3 linked regions of the Neodiprion lecontei genome follow. The protein of the gene in region 2 purifies or fractionates together with the protein of the main gene of each other region. This does not show direct contact. Links are inferred from orthologs where the notes say so. Each region holds a gene or a part of one and is shown on either strand. Other genes may lie near its edges.

Region 1 (8,046 bases), on a different chromosome or scaffold from region 2:
ATTCCATAAAATGGAAAGCGTTTGAAGAGTATTATTCCTACCACCCTCGTTTTTCCCCCCTTTACGGAACTATTGGTAATTTATTTTCTGTGCAGGATATAGAGCACTATTAACAAGCTTATTACACTGGGGAAATGGCCAAGCTGTTGAGTAACGATAAATAGCTAGAGGCCAAGCTAGGTACGATTTTGCCAAAGGTCTTCGATTCAAACATTAAACGAATAATTATTATTGTTCAATGTTTACAGTGAGAGTCAACTCACGATGTACAATGGCGTTTTGATCTACAAAATCATTACGTACATGTATGTATGTATGATAATTACAATGCGCACACATTAATGGCAGAGGCAATATTGTTTGTTATAGAGATATTTGTTGATTTGCGGAGAGTATTGTATTTCTTTGTTTTTATTTTGACAAATTACCCAATCCTAGGTCAATGGGTAAATAGATCATTGTCGCTATGTACATTGTACAGATATTAATATATTATTAATATTATTTGATGTTGAATATACAAACATATATTTGTCTGCCAGTTCTTCCAACGTTCGCATGCATGTGGTCACGATTTATTCAACGTAAGTTCTTACTATTATTTTTCTTTTTTTTCTTTGCTTTTCTTGACTGTTTAACATCGAAAATTGTCTCTGTTCCTTGCGGTTTTAAATAAAAAACTACTTCTCCTTTATCATGAGGGATCAGATAATTTTTCTTGGCTAATTATTTTAACTCGTGTTATTATATCTGCAAACTTTTACTACTTTTTCGGCGCAAAAACGATCTTACGACTCTTGATGGTTGACCACCTGTGTCTCTTCATGTAATAAGTAACCGTAAGCAATAACGTGAAGATTCCCACGGCCTGTAATAGAAAAACAAGAACGAGGAAACCATTAACAATTGCTGATAAAGCATATGTGAATAGAAAAACAAACTATGATTTGGCAGCAATAAATAGCCTGATAATCGTATCTTTTTGAAAGGTAACTGTTACGATATGTTTTGAATTGTACAGGTTTATAAAATCGTCACCTTGATAAACCATCGCTTTCTGGTATCAAACTCTGGGTTCGATGCCCAAGTAAGGAAGCTGACTACATCTTTGGCTACCTGCGATGCAGTTGCTGGAGTTCCGTCTTCAAAGTCAAGTACCTCGTCATAGATTACCTGTTTTTTGAGAAAAAAATTGGAATAAAATGATCAAATCTGGAGGAGAAAATTCTATAAGTACATTGAATATCATTGGCATAAATTGATTATTGTAAATCAACTACAAGTACAGGCGATTCGTAATTTTGCTGGCTTACCTGTGCCATACCGATAGCTCCACCAGGGAAATAAGGGTTGTAATACTGGCCGTCCATTAGAACGACGCCAGCAGGTGGGTCACAGTAGCCAGTCAAGAGAGAAAAGATGTAATTCTGGAAAGAGATGTAAATGAAATTGATGAAATAAGTCAGAAGGTAGTAAAATTGCGTAGCGTAAAATAGTACCGACCTCTCCGTTGTGTCTAGCGTTTACTATATACGTCAAGTCTGGTGGATAAGCACCATTGTTAGCTGCTCGAGCAGCCTCCTCATTGGGATACGGCGAAGGGACGTAATCCGAGGGTTTTCCTGGCCTCATGTAATATTCTCCCTGGTCATTTGGACCGTCCTTGATCTGAAGTAGAGTTAAAAACACAAGTGAGATGAATGCGAAAGGATGCGTGTATACTACGACATGGAAGCAATTTTATAACTGTTTAACTACTCTCCCCATCCCCGGAGATGTGAAATTCTTGAAATCAGATACCTCTACTATTCAGCGTTACTCTCGAATCTAGAAAGAGGAGCAACAAACCTCATATTCTGCAGCCATTTCCTTAACTTCCGCTTCCGTGTGAGTAACGCCAATGAGCTCACGGAATGCGACGTACTTGAGACTGTGGCACGAGGAGCAGACGTTCTTATATACTTCCCAACCTCTTCTCAAGCTGAAATTGTTATGAGTGCAAGTTACGTTTCAATCTTCCGACTCTACATATATTTTACACTTCTCCTAGAAGTCCAATTAACATCACATTTGATTCAACGTTACCTGGCATGATCGAAGGAACTTAAATGCCCATAAAAGTCCCAGGCATAATTTGGAGCGTGTAATTCAACGCCCTCAGCTTTCACGGAACTTTCCAAGGCATATACCAAAGCTCCAGCACCGCCTGTCGCAACGCCAAGGCATGCTAGCAACTGCAAATTTCAATAGAAACCACTGCGGTTGGGAATTATTTACACATCGAAATGCGGTGAGAAACACGTAACTGACTAAGATATTAAAATTATTTTTACAAACTGTACGATCGCCCTTCGCGTCAGGTTTTCAAATACCAAAAATGTCCAATTGTCTAGTTTCAGGGATATCATGGGATATCATTAATATCCTGGTATATTTTACTCACGGAGTAAAATAAAATCAAACTTCAGGGATGTCGTCATGAATTTTAGGAACTCTAGAGGTTGGGATAGGGCAGGGAAGGACGTTAGACGCTGTGCATTGTTATGTGACGTACCGTTTTTCGTCCCTTTGCCCAGTCTCGGGCGGTCGAGAAGGTGCTGACCTGCAAGAAGATGAAGGAGATATTTCTTCTCGTTATAATGATAAATTCAGAACTGCATAAAATGTGTCAACAGGCGTACATAACAAGAGGCTGAATGTTGCTCTATTACATAACGTGTATGAAGGGAGAATATATCATTTTAAATGGACACTAAAATTGTCAAAGTATCCTCTGGACCTTTGCTCTGATTAAGTAGTTTGTCAATAAACCGCCAGCTATCTTAGAAACTAACTATAGATGACTCGTAATAACGAACTGACGATTACAGACGGTTAAATTATGATGGTAAAACGTTCAGTCAAAGGTTTGTGAGGAGTGAACTTCCCTCGATAGAGAGACAGTCGTGGCCAATTTGTGACTTTGACAAAAGGAACAGCTCGATCGGAATTATCGCGAATTAAACTCTGAGTAGTAAGCCACGATTTTTCGGGTCAAAATTTACCTACTTGATTAAATAGAGCACCATTACTGGCTTTTAAAAGACCCGAACCGCAAACCCTTCCCAGCGATGCCGCCATCTTAGCTAGAGGTGCAGACTGCAAAAGAACACGAGTCGTTGGATGTACCGTTAATTTGACGAAGATATTTTTTCTGCATACATCCCGAGTATAAATACCGGATAAATGGAGGTTGAAAATATTATTAATTTTCGTTCAAATATCGACTATAATGCTATTCATAATATAATTAAAATCAATTATTGTAAGATTAGGAATATTGCGATGACGTCACGATTCCATGTTAGCCAACGTTATCTAAGCGTTTGTCGAACGGTAAATGTGAGAGTCCTAAATTATTGGAAATCATCTAACGCTGAAAATCCGAACAACGATAGATGCCTGAAACAGATTTATCACCGACGCGTAGCTGACCGGTGAAAAGTTTTGTAATAATTAAAAATTTCAGATTAAGATTAGACCAGATTTTCGAGCAGACGACCGACGCGCGTTCGTATCGTCAAGTTGGCAGCCTTGCGTTCGGGTGTCGTAGATCCTCCGCCATCGCGTACATCGTCCATCGGTGTCAGCTGGCGCGTAGAGCGTATAGAGAGTCAGCAGCGCATAGTTTTTGTGGTATATCGTTTCGCGTTCAGACGGTTGTATGGAGCGGTAGATGCGGACGGTATCGGGTATCTAAGTACATCTCGTTGATCGTTAGTAATACATAAAAGTTTCAAGATGAGTGCCGGAATGCCGGAGCTTGGTTCTAAGATAAGCCTAATATCGAAGGCAGATATTCGTTATGAAGGCCGTTTATTTACCGTCGATCCACAGGAGTGCACGATCGCCTTAGCCAACGGTAAGATGGACTCCTTTCTTTCTCGCATCAACTTTGTTTCCGCCGTTTTCATAGTTTAGCCTAACCGCCCGATGCTCGCAGACGACCAGAACATCTTTTATTACCTTTATTTCCCTGTAATTCAACAACTACTCGATATTCCACAAGTAGCTTTTACATTCTCAACTATTGATACCGGTTGATTATATTCTTTTTTGACAGTTCTTCTGTACTACCTTAACTTATCACTTTTTCATATCATATATTTTTCTCTCATTTCTTTTTATGAAAACAATCCAGGTCACCAGAGTTTACGATCCTGCAATCTCGCGTCGCAATCTTTTGCCTATCTCTCTGTCTTTCTCTCCCCCCCCCCCCCCCTTCCCCCCTCACCCCCTCTCTCTCTTTCTCGTTCTTCCGCTGTGTTATGTATTTCCATTCTTTACGTTGTTATTCCTCTTTCCGAAAATTTGTCGCAGTTACGTTTCATCCGCAATGATTGAAATAACAACAATTTCATTGCGATATTTCAATTAGTTATATCTACTGTAATTTCTCTCTTCTCTTCCCCCCCCCCCCCCCCCCCCCCCCCCCCTTCTATTATTTCACTTCTCCATCATGATATCCTAGTCAAAATTACGTGTATCACCTTCAAACGCTTGTTGTGAAGAATATATTTCAGCACAGTCGTATGATGACGGGCTCTCAGGTTCACCTAAGAGATTGTATTTTGTTTTTGTTTTTGTTTTTTTTTTTCTCCCTCCTTCGAGCGTTCTATCTATTCAAACGAGAACCGTTTGGATTTGAAATATCCGCTCAACGAATTCTGGGATTAACGTAAACGTAAACATAGTTGGAATCGATTTTGTGTATAACGTATCACATCATTGATAATCGTCAATCAATTGTACTTTCTGATTTTCTTACAAAGATATATGTTTTTGCTCGATTATTTTCAAATAACAGTCTTGCATTTTACTCACAAGTTTTCCAATTTCTCTAATATCAATAGAGAGAGTAAAATTCAGACAATGTTCAATAATTTTCATTCATAAATTATCGTTAATGTTATTATTATTATTTTTAAGACACATTCCGACGAGTGCCAAATACTCACTAACGATCGATTACTATTTTTCGTTAAGACTGTTTTTATTCGTTACAGTTCGTTCCTTTGGGACTGAGGATCGAGAAACCCAGTTTCCAGTAGCGCCACAAAACCAAGTCTATGAATACATATTATTTCGAGGATCTGACATTAAAGACATCAGAGTCGTCAACAATGTCAGCACCATTCCAAACGATCCAGCCATTGTCCAGGTAAAATATTGCTGATTCAAAGATCATTTTTGAAATGAATTATTTTGCTTCATCGCTCAATTTTACTAACACTTGTGTAAATTGTCCAGCTTTATTACGGCAGACGCGGCAGCTCGGTTACTTGTTACATAAATATTACCAATTCACAGATGACAGTACAGCCCAACATGGGTCAGCCGTCTTACCAGCCACAGCCAGGATTCAACCATCCGATGATGGGTCAAATCGGACCAATGGGCGGCCAGTACGGAGGCGGATACGCGATGGGTGGAATTGGAGCCATGGGAGCCATGGGTCCAGTTATGGGTATGCCTGCAGCTGGACGAGATCCTCGAGTCGCTATGAACAAACAACCAAGTGAGTTGGGCCTGGGCTCCACTGGAGCACCCAACGTCGTCTCGATCCCAAACTCGATAGCACCGGGCAACGTTGATCAAATTCAAAAAGACCAATCTTTGGAAGATGGTAAACTGTTTTTGCTATGATCTTGCTACCCGGCATGCCTGATGCTTTTCAGCTTGATTTGGTATAATTGTTTATTTATTCTTCACTTTTATCTAACATCTGCTCGCCTCTCGTTGCTTTTTTACTTCAACCAAGAGAAAAAGAGTCAGTCGTGCCTTTTTTATTATGAACGGTTTAACGTGGACCGAAAAATTACGGTTCTTGCTGCAAAAATAACATTACATTAATGCACTTCTGCTTTGGCTGGTCTCTGTACATATTTTCTTGTCTTTCTTTTAAATCTGCTTCTGCGAATAGATGCTTTTTTATTCTACGAATTTTATTACATCTATCTCAACTCGCTACATTTGAGAAATTTCAACTCATTTTTTGCATTTGAAACATGACGCGGATCGTATAAAGAATTATTTATATCAAATTCTCGTTATTTACATGTGCAATGTTTCAGTCATGAGGTGAACTGTACTTTCAAGTTTTGGTATTGTTCAGCTCACTCTTGGAACAGCTTTTAAAACTCCTTAACCAAATCGTATCGATTCAATAGTGCTTTGTCACTGTTCCATTTGACTCTTTTCGTTGCATGTTTAATCTGTTTCTTCTTCAACTAGGAACAGTATAGTTTTGCCTACAAACAAACGAAAGAACAAATATAGCAAAACCAGTTATCATTTACATTATGGTATAAAATACGTGTAACTTTCCTTAATCGATTGCAACTTTACTTGTGCGATCCATCTTTCCATCTATCTCTATCTCTATCCACGTTGTTGGCATGTATTCATTTATTCTCAATTGCAAATTCTTTTAAATGATTTATTTATTTGTTTTTTTCATTTGTCATGTTCCGAAATCTAGCATGAATTTGTAGAAAATCACTATGAGATCATTTTAAAAGAGAGTACACCGATGCTTTAATATAATTGTTCATCTTCCTTGCTACCGTTTCATACAGTTTACCATTTTACCTTCTAAATAACTATTACTAACCATCTCAGCACCGTGTGATAATTGTGACCTTCAATTATAACGTATTACTCAAGATGTAGAACAGTTTCAAAATTTTTGAAACAACATTCACTGTCTGTCTGGTTCTTTTTTTGTCGGAAATCAGCTGAATAATTCTTCAATTATCCGGTGCTGTAGATAACTAAAACTAATTGACAAAAATGCATCTTCTGCGGCTTATTTAATGTGACAGAGCTGCGGAAGATGTAAAAAGTCCAATATCTCATGGCAATACACCAGAATTGTTCAAGGGCATCATTGATCGCATTAGAACAGGATGTCTGTCTTCTCTTGCATTATTGGTAAATTCGTCTGCCTCAAGATTGCCTCAAAAATATTGTTTGTATACGTGTGGAAAGTCAAAGGATAAAACAAAAGTATCCCAATTAAAAAATCGAATTTTCCCCCCTGCTACACAGGTGTGTTGGACTTGATCAGCGGAGGATCTCGATCGACTACTCCCACTTCATCCCTGATGACTAGGAAAAGTCCGACTATGGATCAGGGCACGCAGGTTGGCCATCAACAGCGGTCGACGAACGCCAACATCCACAAACCGATGAGCGACAAGCCCAACGCTAGAACCATACAACCATCTTATCGCGATCGTGAAAGGTTGGTAAAAATATGACTTGTACTTTCATTCTTTAAATATTCTATCATTGCTCATTCATTTTCTTTAACTGTGCAATTTACCTATGTAAATAAACTTTCGCAGTCATGGCAGCGGGCGAACCGGCAGCGGCATGTCCCAGTATAGCGACGGAAAGCGTGACAATCGTGAAAAGCAGGACGGAAATCAACTTCAAGGACACGGACATCCTTCAGGGCCGAATCACGCCCAGATGCATCAGGCGGGACGCGGAAATCGCGGCGGTTGGATAGCTCGAGGAAATATTCGCGGACGAGGAAGGGGACGCGGCGGTGGTGGCGGAGGTACCTTCAGACCCCCGCAGCCAGGAAGCATAAATAACAAGCCGAAGAACATGTTGAAGTTCGAGAATGACTACGACTTCGAACAAGCCAATACGCAGTTCGAAGAGCTAAGGTAGACGCACTTGAACAATACAATTCGCTGTTTTCGAACTAGATATTGAAATGCCCGTTTTTGTAAATACATTCAAGTAATATATTTTAAACCGAGTATATTAAAATTTAAAGGATTTATATTCTCGGTGAGATCTGGTTTGATACATTGCTTATTAACATTTGGACAAATGAGTTGCCATATAATTTATGACGGAGTATGCAGTTTGATTGAAAATTGCAGGTCCCAATTGGCTAAGACTAAGATTGACAACGGTACTGACAATGAGAAAAAAGACGATAGCGGCAATGAAACTGGAGCGGGCGAGGGAGAGCCTGAGGAAGAAACG
Region 2 (8,159 bases):
AGGTGCTGATTTCAAATTGGAAGACAAAGTTTTTAAATCTAAAATGGTGAATTTAAAATAGGGTCCACAATAGACTGAGCTCTAATAATGACTCGATTTTAGTTACGGCTTTTTTATATAGGTAGAATAACTGCGATAAAACTATAATAGCAACGGTGTCTCTTCAACGCCTGTCGATATTGTACAAAATGTAAAGAAATAATAATGCATATTTTGCAATTAAGATGCGATTCAAGTTTATTTTGTTGTTATTCTTTGCTTCTATAGTCTTTTAGTTATATGTTTGTAATAAAGGCTGAACAAAAAGAGGAATATTTGTAACGAGTTTATAGCTTACTCGTGTAATAACATTCAATTTGATACAACGTTAGTTATTAATAGAACGTTCAAGTTAAACTATTTTCTCTTCTCTGGGAAATTCGATACTTCCGACACGCTTCTGGGCAATGACGTTCCAAATATCGTCGTTGAGAGAATGCCTTGAAGCACACTCCACACCGCCATTGCCATTGATGGTGATTTCGGGTCCGTTGATGAGCCCTCAAGTTTGATCTGCGCAGAGAAATTTAGCAGTGGACATTGTAAAATGTTTACAACGTAAATGAAAGGAAACAGTTTTCGAATTTCACTTTTCACGGAGTGAAATATTATGTGAAAGCAATTCTGCAAACCTCAAAGGTTGTAAATTTGGAAGATTTGCCGATGTAATTGAATTTTGAATTTGTTACGCACCGATCGGCAAATGATTTTTGGCAAACCGGACACTCGAACGGCCTTTCACCGGTATGAAGTCGAAGATGGCCTTTCAGTACCCAAGGTCGATCAAAGCTCTTCCGGCAATACGGGCAGTAGTGCAAGGCTTTGATGCGTTTCCAAGTTTCCGTGTTTCCGACATCCGAGTAGGGCGCTCTTTCTTCTTCGTAAAATCTTATCGCTTTGATCAAAGTGTTACTAGCCGGTAATCGCATTGTGGGAGATAAATCGACCGACTCGGGGTCGACGCACTTTCCGTCGGATGATTGATTATCATTTTTACAGCATTTCCCGCCCTCAGCGTTTATTTGTGCGTCGTTGATTTTTATAATCTCGCATCTTTCGATCAGTTCTTTGTCGGCATCGAAAACTTTCTTCCTTGCGTTCAAGTCACACAGGTAATTCGTTACCGTCGGCGCGCTTGCAATGACTGTAGACGTTGAAAGTACGTCGGCTGATTCACCGGAATCTATTAACTGCAGGCCTAGTTCTTCCGGAATTGATGTGTTCCATAACATGCTGTTATCTTTCTTAAAGCTGTATCGAGTTACGATTGAAAGTCTTGGACAAGTCCACATATTTATAGACTTTGAAGACACTTCTTTGCTTTGATTTTTTTTTCTGATATCAGATACTGTCGGCAACCACGACACGGAAAGTTCGTTCTCTACGAAAAATTGTGGAATATTATTGAAAATGGGTTGAAAAAAAAAGAAACAATTGATGCTAAGCATCACTGATCTTATAAATGATTAGGGTAAATTGGATCTTTCACAACATAATGGAACTTATCGCGAATGGTCGATTGCACAGTAACATTGTTGATGAAGAAAACAGTGGTGATATAACCTATAATCAAGAAAACGCAATGCGCTAGAGAAAATTTCGCGGGTTTGAGCTGGAAAATTAGCTACCCATATCGCATAATTTCTTCCCTGGAAATTGATCTCCACTTAACCCTGAAAATTTGCACCTACTCTTTAATAATGGTGAGTGGAATTTTGACGTTGCTCCAAGTTTTCTGTTGCGTTGGTTTTGTACGTAAAGAGTTACAGAAATGTACCATTTACAAACCTCGACTGGAACATGATCGGCGAGCAAAATTTTGCACCAATTAAGCAAACAATTTTTCAAAATAAAAGATGAAAACAATATTGAGTGATACATACCGTCATGTAAATTACTTGTTTTCTGATATCTTGTCATCGATTTAATCAGGCAGTGTGGCATGTTGTTTACGTTTGTTTATTATTCTTTTACAATATCAAGGAATGTATTGAAAAATTGCAATTATGTCAAATACACTATTTTCTGTAGAGTAATAAATCTGAAAACTTATTTGAACAAGTGATCCACTATTGGCGTGTTTCGAAATATTCTTCTTCAAGGCCATAGATACATTAATCCCGGACCGCATTGAGAAGGTTGCAAAAAAGAAACACCAGACAATCTGTACCCACGAGTGTGACGATGAGACATTGATTGACATGTCATGTGTCATTATCAATCCCGTCAAACTCTGTAACCTCGGAAGTTGGTACATCAGTCTACGAAATGGTAACCTAATAATAAGAGCCATGATACTTGTGTTTTAGTATGGTGATACGAATTCAAATTACCCATAAGCTTGATGCTTGCGTTACAAAGATTTACGCAAGGTATACTTTTCCGGGCTTGTTCGAAAATAGTTTGGTATTTCCAACCCTAAAAATTCCTTAGAAATGAGACAGAGTAAGCAGGCGATCTGGTAGAGCAAAAAAATCATGAAACTACTTTCACTGCCCAGCGAATACTGGGCAGCTGATCTCTTCTTCCGCTCTCGAGTAATTTGATTCATTTCACTCGACTCAACGGATCAGTTAGTGTTTCACGGATCTATAAATTTTGAAGCGTGCTTTGAAGTATCTCTAAAATGTTGTGAAACGTGTGAGGCTGGGACAGGGAGTAAGAAGGAAGGAGACCGATCTCCATGCTGCAAAACTGGCATTGATTTTTAGGTCTCTACAGCAGAGAGAACTGCCAGTACTTAAAATTCCCTAGGGCAGAGACAGAGCTGTCCATGAACTCGGCAGCGCAAAAGAGATGAAAGATTGCTGACAGTACTGTCCACGGTCTTACATACAGGTCCGGAAACTAGTAGGGTGGGGAATGACTCAGATAATGAGGAAGAACCGTGGTTCCCGTCTTCGCCGTCTGCAGCGCTGCCCCCTCGGGGTGAGCCAATCATAAATCAGATCCGAACAGCTGATTTTTCGGAATCAACAATCCTGAATTTGTTACACCGTTTACACACTTTACACTGAGTTATGAACTGTCAAAAACTTCGACGAGCAGATCATCTTATCGGTATATATCTATATTTATTATACCCCGGGCCACTGGCGCCCCTAGCGGATAGATAGGAAACAAGACCGTGTGCCTTACTAACGGTGACACCCCCTACCACTCAAAAGTGCTGGAGTTACCAGACCTGTATGTAAGATCGTGGTACTGTCAGTAAATTTTCGAACACGGCCCTGGTGTCGCAGCGATAATCTTTCACTCTGTTGTTACTGGTTTCGTGGAACGCCACGCACCGAGCGCCACAAGGCAACCGCTTGTGTTCCGAAAGTGTTTTTATTCTTTTCACGGCACACATCGTGTTACATTCAAAGATAATAATTATTGGCTCGCAATTGACGCAGTGCGTTCATTGTTAAAGTTATTGTAAAAACAATATACCAGTAGCGTCGTGATACAATCCCGTGTAATATATATCCGAAAGTAGAAGGTTATTGTGCCACGGAAGGGAGCCAGGCCGCACAGCCGAGATTATAAAAAGTTGACATTGGAACGGCCATTTTGGCGTGTTGTTTCCGAATCGAGTGCTGTGTTTCAGCATCGATATCCATCAGTTTGAAGGTAAGATACACCTTCTCTCACCTCATTCTATGAACCGTATTATGGAGTTTGAGCCACATTTCTGACTTAAGTTCATAATACATCTTGTTTGGACTCATCAATTATTTATTTCGGTTTATAAATCAAAGTTCAAAGAACTCTGCGCCAGTTACGGTACAATGGATCCAGCTTGGCATAAGATTTTCGCCCGCGATATTCTATTCCGTATTGTTAGTACTTGGTGAAATTTTTCTCACCGTTATCAGCATCTACACAAATATTTCAATTCATGATTATACGTGTACACCTCGTATCTTGCTTGGTTAGATTATATATTTAGAGAATTCTGAGCGAAAAGAGAAAAAGAAGAGAAACCTTCGGTTGGCATGGCATAAAGCCTCGTTTATACACCCGTTTGGCACTGCGGTGGCTTAGTAAATTCATAATGGAGGATGTATATACCAGTTTTGTTGATACACCGTACACATCGGTATATTCATCGTTTTTTATTTGCTCAAATAGCTGGCCTGTAGCCACATGATTTTTTTTACCGAAAAAAGCACAGTCGGTTCATTTTCAAACATAGTAAAATAACGGCAATCGAATCAAGCGTAGAGAGTAATAAAATTATCATATACTTGTTATTGGCAATCTAAAAAGAAAAAATTTCAAATTTTATTTGAAAATTATGAAAATCATTCAGCTATATTTTATATGTTCAGCCATGTACTGTTCAAGGTACATTTCAAACCGACTGCTCGATCTTTGTACTCAGCGAAGCTTGACAATATAAACACATTTTTTCAGCAACAGCGTATGTGTACCTTGAATTGAACTAGTATTCACAGTTTGTGTATTTCTTGTTCAGTTTTGAAATTTTTTTTCGTAGCTCAAAGTACAGCTTAGCGCTATACACACCTTAGCTTTTCTTTGTTTTGCCATACATTCAGACATTTATGATCACGGTCTTTTGCAATACATGAATCTTATATATTGAGAATTGTTTCTCCCTTCTTTTCTCTTGCCATTCGAGCTCTCTTGCACATTCCCTCCCTTTTATTTCTATCTTACTTTATTTCTATCATGAGCTGCTTCATTTTTTGATTTAGTTTCTTTTGTAATTATATAGTTGTTTTGGTAATACGATTAAATTTATATCAACCTCGTGCCAAATATTTTCAGCTAGTCTACACATATTTGTTGAATTAAAATTTACACTTGGTGTTAAAATGAACTCCTTGTACTCTGAATTTTTCACGTTGATTGTGAATATTGTTATTCTTTTAAAGCCATTGTCAAGTACACGTCCTGCTGATAACGCCTACTGTAGATAGCTGCAATGTTTCGATAAAATTCGCAGAATGTACGGTTATTTCATGTTTCACAAGGCTTATTGTTCCGTGTGTCATCTTCAATTTCTATTTTTTGTATTGTTGAATTTCATTCTGAAATTAACAGTTCCTATTACAGGCATAACTTTCATAAATGTTTGTAACAGGTTGATGAAAATAGTAAGGAAATGAAGATGTGAACTTCCGAGGTTTAGGATCCGGGGTATACAAATAAAGTGGATTATGATTATAATTTCATCTTGAATTCTGTCTTTCAGGAAATTTGAGACACTCTAAAGCCTACGATATGATGACCGAAACTCATATTAATTCTAATCACATGCTGAATTCCGGCTTGGGTCCAAAAGGTGATCTAGAAAAGATGGACGATATAGGTTGGAAAGCAAAACTGAAAATTCCGCCCAAAGACAAACGCATCAAAACAAGTGTGAGTCAAACTAAACTAAAATTCAAGATAATAGCTGTTGTAAAGACACTTAAATTGATTTGGTAATGCCAACAGTGCTCATTCAGAATCATGGTTCATAAAATTACTAGGAATATGGAAACGGTTGTAATCAATCTTAGTGTCTGACAATTGGAAAATGATGTAAAATTAGACCTTGATAAAAAAAATTTATTTTGGCTAGTGAATGATACACCAATCTCCTAAAATTCCTTCAAGAATACATAAAATTGAGGAATAACACACTAATTATAACATTAGATTACTTTCTTCATAAACATTTTGAACTATTAGCAGTTGAAAAATTTTCTCCTAAACTAATATAATCAGGCATTACTTGTGATGCAAATCAAAGCTACAAGACTTTTTTTTTGTACATCATAGGATGTTACGGACACACGTGGAAATGAATTCGAGGAATTCTGCTTAAAGCGTGAATTGTTGATGGGAATTTTTGAGAAGGGATGGGAAAAGCCATCCCCGATACAAGAAGCAAGTATCCCCATAGCTCTTTCTGGCAAAGATGTACTTGCACGAGCTAAAAATGGTACAGGCAAGACTGGTGCATATTCAATTCCTGTATTAGAACAGGTAGGAAAAGATAAACAAAGAGACATATAGAAAGTTGTTCGAATTTCACTACTTTAATTATTGCATCTTGCAGGTGGATCCACGTAAAGATGTTATTCAAGCATTAGTGATAGTTCCTACTAGAGAATTGGCTCTGCAGACATCACAGATATGCATTGAACTTGCAAAACACATGGACGTCAAGGTCATGGTTACCACTGGAGGAACTAATCTGCGCGACGACATTATGAGGATTTACCAAAAAGGTTAGCGTTTGTTGAATAGTCCGTAATAGTCTGGAAATCTGTTGACAACCAGGGCTTGTTCATCTTCTCTAATAGAAGTTGAAACAGAATTGGTCTTGTACATTGTTCTGTTTTGTCGATTTACCCAATTACGCCATTCTCATACATTCAGACCCAATGTATTAGATTGCTTTTGTTGATTGTAGATGAATTTCCTTCTTAAGATTCCTAATTTATACGCACTTATTGAAATGTACTTTTCCAGTGCAAGTAATCATTGCGACACCGGGACGTATCCTTGATCTGATGGATAAAAATGTTGCAAATATGGATCACTGCAGAATCCTTGTATTGGATGAAGCTGACAAGCTTCTATCCCAAGACTTTAAGGGGATGCTGGATCACGTTATATCCAGGTATAAACTGTTGCAAATGTGGTCCAATCGCATTTTGGTTTTTCTGGATTCAACTAGAAACGAAAATTACAAAATTCTTTACATCTGTGTTTATAGATTACCACAAGAACGTCAGATTCTATTATACTCTGCTACATTTCCCCTAACCGTAAAGCAATTCATGGAAAAGCATCTGAGGGACCCATATGAAATTAATCTGATGGAAGAGTTGACATTGAAAGGAGTGACACAATATTATGCTTTTGTACAGGAACGTCAAAAAGTTCACTGCCTTAATACGCTATTTTCTAAGGTAAAACTCCCTAAATATCAAAACAGATATGGCAGAAATTAATATTTGAAATTCGTACTTGTCCGTTTTTCGTGTAATTGGTTCATTTCCGCATTTTCCAACTATGGCCGTTAGTAATGTTCTTCAATCTCAAATAACTATAAATCAGGTGACTGAATTCTTATGAAGTTGACGTTAGTATCTTTAATGTAACAGAACATTTGGGAAGAAATAACTATCTTTTGCAATGTCAGAATGACTTTCAGAGAGTCAAGTTTTCAAAGTATGAGCATGACTTGCTTAAGTATGGTTTACTGAATTGCACACAGGCCTAAAGGTGTGAGACAGCGATTATTTACTGAAAAGCATCGGTATAGTAGCATTACCAATTTCAGCCGCATGGAGTTTTGATGATGCTAGTAGTTATTTTCTGAAAACTGCTATTAAATTCAATCTTACGTTTAATATATGGGCACTCGCATATCGTTTGTAAGTCAAAGAAATTCGTTCACATCTTTGAAATATCAAAATTCTGATTTTCTTAAACTCCACCATTCTATCCCAATTAACATAAAAAAAGTCAATTACTCTCTGCTCATCAAACTTCTCTGTACATCCAAAAAAATTCAGGATAAATTTTTTCAGGGTGATTAGTAATGCGAATTATTTATTTATTATATCTATTTGCCTGTTACTTACTCGCTTCTTACTAATAAATACGTAATAACGTGCGTCAAACATTACGCAACACCATTACTGGTCATCCTCCTGCCCTGTCAATTTGCTTCCTTGGTTCCCGGAGCATGAGGTAAATTTTGAACGTTGCCTAAATTCATGTAAATACGCTAACAAAAATTCTACCATTTAGTGTAAAAAAAACTCAGTTATGTATGTATATCCTTTTTTAGGGAAAGTTTAACCAATGATGATTCCCCTTTGGGAAATTCCCAAAAGTATCAACCCATTTCCTTACCCCATAAAACGTATATTTTGTTATCATTTTGTTGTGAAATTTACAAAATATTCACCCTAGAGGTTTTACACATTTTTCGAGCTACCATCTGAAAACTTGATTCATTTTTGATACCCATTTCGTATATTGCCTGGTTATGCTGAGAACATCAGACTTTTGAGCAACCCTAGCGAACTAATTATATCATTTTTATTTTCAAGTTACAAATTACACAGAGCATAATATTCTGCAATTCAACACAACGCGTTGAATTA
Region 3 (8,169 bases), on a different chromosome or scaffold from region 2:
TTCAGTTCCTTCGAACGGACAAGAAAGAACAAATACGTTGCCAAAAAATATTGAAACACGAATGTATTATCAATAATATAAATATTAGGGTGGGTAAAATAAATGTTTTTTTTTGTTTTTCCTTGGAATCAGGCTCAAATGTTTCATTTAGGTATAAAAATACGCCTGTTAAAATTTGAGCTCTCAATGTTAACATTGAGAGGTTGCGTATCGCACTTTACTATTTTCCATATGAAAAACACGATCAAAATCGTTGTTGCTGGTTCTGATGTTTATAATTAGCTAACGATGCGTCGTACAGAAAATTCACAGATCTACAATGTATGAGATCGAACGCTCTACAAAAAGGGCCTGTTATTATTTTATGATAAATCTACTCTTTCAAACGTTATTTGAGATCAGAAATTGTTGAAGGACCTTAAATAACTTTTGAAAGATTAGATTTATCGCAAAATGATAAGAAATCTTTTTTGTAAAGCGTTCAATTTTATATATTATAAGTCTGTGAATTTTCTGTACGACACATCGTTAGCTAGGTATAAGAATCGGAAGGAACAAAAACTGTTAATGTTAATATTAAGAGCTCAAATTTTAACAGGCATACTTTTATACCCAAATGAAATTTTTTAACCTGTTTCCGGGGAAATTATTTTTTATCTTTTCACACACCCTAATAAATATGCTCCTCCTAATAGGCGATTAAAATTTAAGTAATAAGAGTATAATGTGTTGTTGAATTGATCGACGCGCATGTTCGTGTATAATATACATATAGGTATAGTAGATATTTATTGCGCAATATAATAAAATAGTAATATAATGAAACATATTTATTTTTTAATTTGAAGTCGCAATATCAGAATGTTGTTAAATAATTATACAAAATATCTATGAATATATATTATATACATATAAACTTAATGTATGTATATTACGGTTACTTAATTGTTTAAAGACGTTATCATTGTTTCGATTATTATTTTTGTTATGATTACAATGATATAGCAATATATGACTTCGTTCATAGAAAAAGACAAGACAACCTAATAATCATAATGAAACTAAATAAATGAATATATAAGTAAATAAATAAATGAATAAATAAACAAATAATCATAACCGTTTAACCTCACAGTACAGGGGTAAAAGCGTAGAAAAGTTCTAAAAGAGCTCATATACGTACACGTATAATTCACGATATAAGACATATTTTCTAACTAATAAAAATCAACCTGCCCGCGACGCTGCAAAGCTATTAACCTCTAACTCACGCTCCACGTCGTAAATCACTGCACGCGAGACTGTAAAACTTGATTGATACTCATTGATTGAAGCAGCGGAAGACTCTAACGTAAACAAGAAAAAAAGAGTTGTAGAAAAACTTGAACGTATAAGTTTAAAATACTGCTTTAAAATTTCAAATATACGATCCCCACTCTGGACATATACTGCATGAGAGATAAACGAATTATTAAAAAAATTAATTTCAATTGCAAAGCACATACAACGTTGTTACTATCAACGGATTCTGGTCAATCGCAAACTAATAACTATGATATCTACGTAAATAATTATCTATGAACTAATTTAGATATACCATATTATTACTCGGCAAATTAGCGAGTTTTTCGGGGAACAAAACGACGGGCGTATTTCCTCTTGAATTAAGTATACATATAGGTATATAATATAATGCCGAAACGATATATTAAACTAATGAAATAATACCAAATACCCGTAAATGTTGACGATATAGTGATATTACGTATTTAATCGGTATACGAAACGAGGCAAATTAGATATAATTTATCGTTGAATATTATAGGTAGGAGGAGTCGAAATACTTATGACGAATAATTTTCGACCTAGGTAAAACTCTGTAACTTCCAAATTAGGGTTGGAATGAAAATAGCTTATTGGGTTCTTGGTAAAATTGAATTGATTACCATCGTTATGAGTTTGACAAAAAAAAGAACCACTTCCGGCATAAAGAGGACAAAATTACTTTGAAGTAACACCTTTCGCCAGTGTCCAGGCGCGGGACAAGAATTCCAAATTCTCTGATTATATTAAGCATCGTGCCAACATTATTCGCCTGATAATTAAACAATTTTTCTGAAAATCTCGAATAATTTTTCATTGAAAGACAAATTAACTTATCATAAATTAAAATTATTTTATAAAATTAATTATGTTTTAACGGATAGTTCGAAGAGAAAAGTCATATGCGGAGTCATACCTAAACTATCGTATGAATTCAAAACCAAAAAGAGAGAGGAAAAACAAACAACCGGTATACACAAATAAACAGCCTTTCCCAATTATGGCCGGACAATTGTTCTCGTAGAATCCTTTATTTCATCGCAGAAGTAAGAATTGACTCCTCGGTTGTGTTTCCGCATACTCTTCGTATCGTCAATGTTCTCACAATCAGATATTGTTCAGATTGTAAATTCTTCTTTTCTATGGTTTGCCAAAAACATTTTTTTGTACTTTTATACAAGAAGTTGATTTGAAATATCGGGAAGGCTGATTTGAAGCTCAGATTTCGGATTGTTCAATTATATGAATAAAACAAATAAGTATAAACTGTCTGTATCTATAAATATAGGTATGTGATTTATTATCACGGCAATGTATGCACAATCAGTCAAGAATACAATGAATCACACTCGCACGTATATAGTCTGTATGATGTATGTACAAGCACAATACCATGTTGACTAAAGAAAAGTTTAAATGAAATGTTGATAGTACTTTTAAAACAAAAGTATAAAAATTATATCACGTATAACATTCGCAACGTTACTCTAAGCACACCGTAATAAAATAAATTGACGAGTTTTATCGTTGTTCTTGTTTTAGACCGAACAAGTGTAGATAAATTATACCTCGATTAAGAGATAATAAAAGTGATTATTATAATGATGATAATAAAGGAGGATATCGTTTTGAAAAGTTAAAGCATATTTCTTACGAACCATCGCCAATGGTATTTGATATTTTTCATTTCCTGTATTGTGGCAATTCCGTTATCCTACAAATCGATGGTGACAATTTCAGGAAAAGCTAGGATGAAAAAAGATTTAAATCACTGACTTAAACGACGTTGATTCGGATATTTCAACTGTCATCACCGGGTAAAGCTCATATCATTACGGTCGGAGGCCGTAGTAACAGATGAGTTTTTCCCAAGTTTAGTCTTCGGCATTTTTCGGTGATAAACAAGTCAAGCAAACGTGAATTGAAACAAACACAGGTGAAAAGAATCCTGTACATTGGAAGAAAATTTCAAATTTTCAAAAATTTCGCTATAGTATATTTTTTCGTCTTCGTGGAACACTCTGCGAATTGACATAGCTAAACGTGAACCCGCCAGAACACTTGAATACTTTGGGATCCGTTCGGACTTGACTTCCGGTTTCATACCTATTACAGCGCTTATGCGTGGTGGAAATCGGAACTATCGGAGAGGGCAATAGATAGACGTAATATGTATAATTTTGAGGTAGCACTCGATATTCCTTCTTATTAGCGTACTTTGGGCCATGAACAAATGATTTGATTATCGTATTTCAAATTTCGTACCATTCTCTGATTAACGTGGCAAATAATCAATGGCATCTATGAAATGAGAGGTTGAAACACTGGTTGAAAACGCGGCTTCAGGGACAGTGAATTTGACCCATCGCGATGTGTTGCGTTCTCTGACGGGGAATACCGAAAGCCTGTCGGGAAGTCCGTGGTTAGTCGTGACCGCCATGACAGCTGATGTCTTTTCCAGCGCTTGACGTTTAGTCGGATCATGACATTTTGCGAATTTAATTTTGACAAATGGCAGACTCTTTTTTCGGATTTGACACATCTCTCGCTGTAAGTTGTATTTGGCTATATTATTTCTCGTTAAATTTGTTCGGAATTTTCCTTCGATTGGAAAGGTATCGCCGATGGGAAACCCTTGATTTTTTCGCGTTTCGACCGCGTCGCGGTACAGCATGGATCGAAAATTTGTTATTTTTATAGCATATCGCGCGGCTAATGCCTTTTATGATATTTCACGTCGACGTTTCACAATCTCTCATCCTTCTTACGCTCGCATGTACGGAAATTACGCTAAACATTAACCCTGCACCAGCCGAGATGCAAACAACGTTTTCACGGATGTGAACTCTGATACGGCCACGAATGTACTATACATAACCTAAGTCTTTCATTATCCCCGCCCCGGAAAGGTCAATAACATTGAATGTCGCTAACCGTGAAAATTTCATCAAATCTCGCAAGATTTTTCTGAGAATTTCAGCGGCTTCCAAGCTCAACCGTCAGCCATAACTCATAGGTTATGTTTCTATAATTTCGCACGTACAACAGTTTCAAAATTAATTTGTCAACTCAGTAAGGTGTCTCTGTTTGCACTTCAATGCTCTGATCTCTTTTTCTCATTCAATATTTATTTGTTGAAACCCAGAGTTCCAATTCGTCAAAATACCAAGTAATATGATCTCGGGTTATTTGCAAAATATAACATCCGATATTACTGGCACGTTCAATCTATTGCATGTGTTCTCTACTGGATTGATGAATGTTTGTCATTTGTTGTATGATTCCTCAAATTTAACAGGGTGATGGCCTAGAAGATGGATTTGATGGACCATTGGAAGATGAAGATATTATTGGTGAAGAAGATGAATATGATGCATTGAACGATGAAACATTCGGAGCGGAAGCAACAGGTGGAGATTGGGAGCAAGATCATGAGAAATTGGCCCGAATCACCGAGTCCTGTAGACAGCAGCCGCCCAGCTTACCTTTGCACCGGGTTTGTAACTGCTTGTCTTGGGCAAGATTCCGCAAAATTTAAGATTTTTTACAAGCAGTCTACTTTTCAAGTTTAATGATTGATTTTAATCTTGTATGATACACAGATTTGTTATTTTGCCCCGATTTGGAATACAAAAATTCAGATTGTTTTATTATATATTGCATTTACTGGATAGTTCAATTATTAAAATCAAGATTGATGCAATTTAAAGCACAATATTTTATTCTTTCATTTTTAGAATGGCATTGAAATAGATATCGAAGATAGCTTGTCACACTTGGTACTAGATGATAGAGATGGGACAACGCCACGACCAGGTGTTTGGGACAGCCCAACGAGCTTTCCTATGCCCAGAATTCAACAGCGTCCTTCGATTTCATCTACCCTTAAAAATGTCTGCACTGTTGAGGAATTGGAGCGAGGTCTCATCGCTAGTAGACCGCCTCCAGGTCTTGCTAAACCTCTACCTCCTCAACTGCATCTACAACAGCACCATCAACAACAACAACAACAGCAGCAGCAGCAGCAGCAACAGCAGCAGCACCATCATCAACAGCAACAGCAACAACAATTACACTATCAGCAACAGCAACAACAACAACAGCAGCAGCAGCAGCAACAACAACAACAACATTCATCAGGTGGACCATTCTTGTTCGATTCCGTACCATTGGGTGAACTTCAAATGAAAGGCCTACCACCTCCTCGTTTTCCCCCAGGATTAGGCCTTCCAGGTCCTCGTGTCATCTTACCTCCTCAAGTGAGACCACCACCACCTCAGTTTATGCAGCACCACAGACTGCTTCCTAGTGAGTAGAACCATCTATATATTTTCAAGCATTTTCATTATCATGTTGGTAAAAAAATTTTGTATGTGAAACTTGACTGCTCCAAATCGTGTCTCAATGTTTTTTTCAGATCAACAAGGTAATATGCTAAGGTACCCTATGCCTCCTCATTTGATGATGCCACCAGGAGCTCAAAGGCAGCCTCCACCACCTTCATTTCGTAATAATTATCCTGTAAGTTATTCATAACATGAAAGAATACAGGTTTGCTACAAATCTGTAAAACTTGGAAAAGTCAAAAAGTTTTGAGTTCAGTAAGGTTTTGTTCTTGATATTGAATCTGAAAATAATATATAAATATTGGAATATTATTCATGTCAAAATTTGTAGCGATCCTAAAGTAACGAAAAATTTCTCATAAAGATTAGTTCGTGAGTAGTTGAGAGGAGTGAAAGCAAAGAGAAGGAGTAATGTAACACCTGAAATTGAAGTGGTATTTGTTTTACTTTTAGCAACCACCTTATCCAGGACTCCCTCCACCTCAATTACTGCGTCCTGAACAAACGATGATGCCGCCATTTGCTAACAATCAAATGAACCATCATCAACAGCACTCTCCCCATTCAGGAAATCAGCGAACAGTTCAGAATAATCGACCGTTCCATTCCAATGACCAGCCATCTGGTCATCAACCACCTACTCACCAGCCATTTTTCAAAAACAATCAATACCCTCATCATAATCACAACCGAAATAATCAACGGTATCATCAACAGCACCACTATCAAGGTATGAATGGATCGAGTGGTCCAATGGGTGACTACGATGAGTACGCCGGCCTTATGAGTAATCGTGAGAAACAATGGCTGATCAACATCCAGCTGTTGCAACTGAACACCAACCAGCCATATGTCGAAGATTATTATTACACTGTATTTTGCGACAGGCAAAACAAACTAAACGAAAATCAGGAACACAAGGACAGAAGGCATCATAACAACAATGGCCACCATAGAGATTCCAGGTAGATATACTCGATATTTTTTCGACATGCAAACCAAACAAAGCTCATAAATTCGATAATAATATTTTATTCTCTAAATGTCAATAATTTGTATATCACAACAGGGATAGAGATCAGCAACAACATATACTGACAAAGGTAGTTTACACGCCCATGCAGTTTGAAAATTCGCTTGGTAAGCTTCAATGTGGTAGTGTGACTGCTCCTCGCAAGATAATTGACATGGACGTGGTTCCAAACAACGATCCTCAGCAAGCACCACATTCACAACAGAAAGACTCGAAAAAAACACGTCAACTTCTACTAGAGATCGAAAGAGTAAGTTTGAAATGTTTACAATTATTCAACATCATGTTTCAACTAGTTATTCTCTTTGTTCTTTTTTTTCCAGTTGTACACGTTGCAGTTAAAGCTCGAAGATCTGACTAATCCTTTAGCTCTATTAGCAGCAGCTGAACAGCAACACCAACAACAGCAGGAAGGAGAAGGAGAAAAGAAACCAATCAAAGAGTCCAAAGTTGAACTGATTGGCAAACTAATAACTTCGTTTCTGCAAATATTGCGAAATGATAAATTAGCCGCTTTGCTCAGCATTCGCAAAGGAAAGGTCAGTATTTACATGAAGGGTCTAGTTTAACACTGTAGAGTAACAAACGTCATACATCGATTGACAAAATGGTCCTTTATGTGATCGGAAAATCAATTGCAGATGTTGTTACTTCGACTGCTGCCACACATGAGCGTAACTGAATACAGCTCTCAGCTAGGCGATCTGTGGACTGGATTGGTTCGCGGATTGGTAGTTATAGGACGCAGGGATTCTCATTTACTGACAAACTTTTATCCTGAATTTCGAAGGTGGTTACATACCATAACTGATTTCGGCTCTGTTTTACGCCTAGCGAAGGCATTGGTTGAGTCAGCATCTCTACCACTAAAAAACAACAGCCTAGCATTTGCTTTAACAAACAAGGTTTGTACCATTTTTGACTCGCAATTTCTCGTCTGATCGTTACATATTTACAGTGGTTTTAACTTAATTTGGTTTATTGTCACTGCAGTTTGGAGTATCGGTTATAGCCTCGGTGTTAGAACAAGCTGAAACATTATCTCCAGTTGAGGATACGATGGCTGGCGATTGGTCAACTTTTGTTATGACACTAGTAGAGACGATCGGAGTCACGCCTCCCAGCGTTGCACCATGTGAACCGATTGCGGCTAATACTCTTAATCAACATTTAAACAGGATTCAATCATTGAAAATTGAAAGGTATGCACCATTGGAACTACTGTTGACCGATGCAAACCCTTCACGATAGTCTCAATTTTAAAATATGTAATTTGAGAATTTTTTTTCTCGTTCTTATTCTTTTTTTTCGCGACTTTCCGTACTACTTTCTAAAACTAAAATGGGAAATGTTGAAGGGTCAGTGTTTTTGTTACCTCTGAGTGATCTTAGCGAATACATAGGTAATACTGGATATCATAAACCGGTGTGAAGTACAGTGAAATGCATTTTACGCCTAGTTTGAGAT

Evidence for each region. Proteins that work in one complex are often made in the same cells at the same time.
Region 1: the proteins of ATP-dependent RNA helicase me31b (region 2) and protein LSM14 homolog B purify together in Drosophila melanogaster (affinity purification with western blotting; 6 studies listed by BioGRID, with this or other methods). This does not show direct contact. The link is inferred for Neodiprion lecontei from reciprocal best matches to the Drosophila melanogaster genes me31B and tral.
Region 3: the proteins of ATP-dependent RNA helicase me31b (region 2) and protein PAT1 homolog 1 purify together in Drosophila melanogaster (affinity purification with western blotting; 5 studies listed by BioGRID). This does not show direct contact. The link is inferred for Neodiprion lecontei from reciprocal best matches to the Drosophila melanogaster genes me31B and Patr-1.

What each region holds. Positions count from the first base shown.
Region 1 is NC_060266.1:24,400,562-24,408,607, reverse strand, and holds the start of protein LSM14 homolog B, read left to right. Parts: upstream 1-3,596; 5' UTR 3,597-3,780; coding exon 3,781-3,901; intron 3,902-5,045; coding exon 5,046-5,200; intron 5,201-5,349; coding exon 5,350-5,665; intron 5,666-7,089; coding exon 7,090-7,285; intron 7,286-7,388; coding exon 7,389-7,718; intron 7,719-7,922; coding exon 7,923-8,046. Other genes in the region: cytochrome c1, heme protein, mitochondrial, read right to left, coding at 764-868, 1,039-1,173, 1,314-1,427, 1,504-1,668, 1,849-1,981, 2,086-2,234, 2,555-2,602, 3,049-3,120.
Region 2 is NC_060261.1:14,904,896-14,913,054, reverse strand, and holds the start of ATP-dependent RNA helicase me31b, read left to right. Parts: upstream 1-3,267; 5' UTR 3,268-3,654; intron 3,655-5,242; 5' UTR 5,243-5,271; coding exon 5,272-5,412; intron 5,413-5,814; coding exon 5,815-6,021; intron 6,022-6,094; coding exon 6,095-6,266; intron 6,267-6,510; coding exon 6,511-6,661; intron 6,662-6,757; coding exon 6,758-6,953; intron 6,954-8,105; coding exon 8,106-8,159. Other genes in the region: zinc finger protein 2, read right to left, coding at 387-552, 733-1,420, 1,923-1,983. UniProt on the Drosophila melanogaster protein: ATP-dependent RNA helicase which is a core component of a variety of ribonucleoprotein complexes (RNPs) that play critical roles in translational repression and mRNA decapping during embryogenesis, oogenesis, neurogenesis and neurotransmission.
Region 3 is NC_060263.1:35,073,691-35,081,859, forward strand, and holds the start of protein PAT1 homolog 1, read left to right. Parts: upstream 1-3,719; 5' UTR 3,720-3,834; coding exon 3,835-3,873; intron 3,874-4,621; coding exon 4,622-4,819; intron 4,820-5,060; coding exon 5,061-5,631; intron 5,632-5,740; coding exon 5,741-5,844; intron 5,845-6,122; coding exon 6,123-6,634; intron 6,635-6,738; coding exon 6,739-6,952; exon of another isoform or gene 6,953-6,953; intron 6,954-7,025; coding exon 7,026-7,241; intron 7,242-7,343; coding exon 7,344-7,607; intron 7,608-7,695; coding exon 7,696-7,953; 3' UTR 7,954-8,169.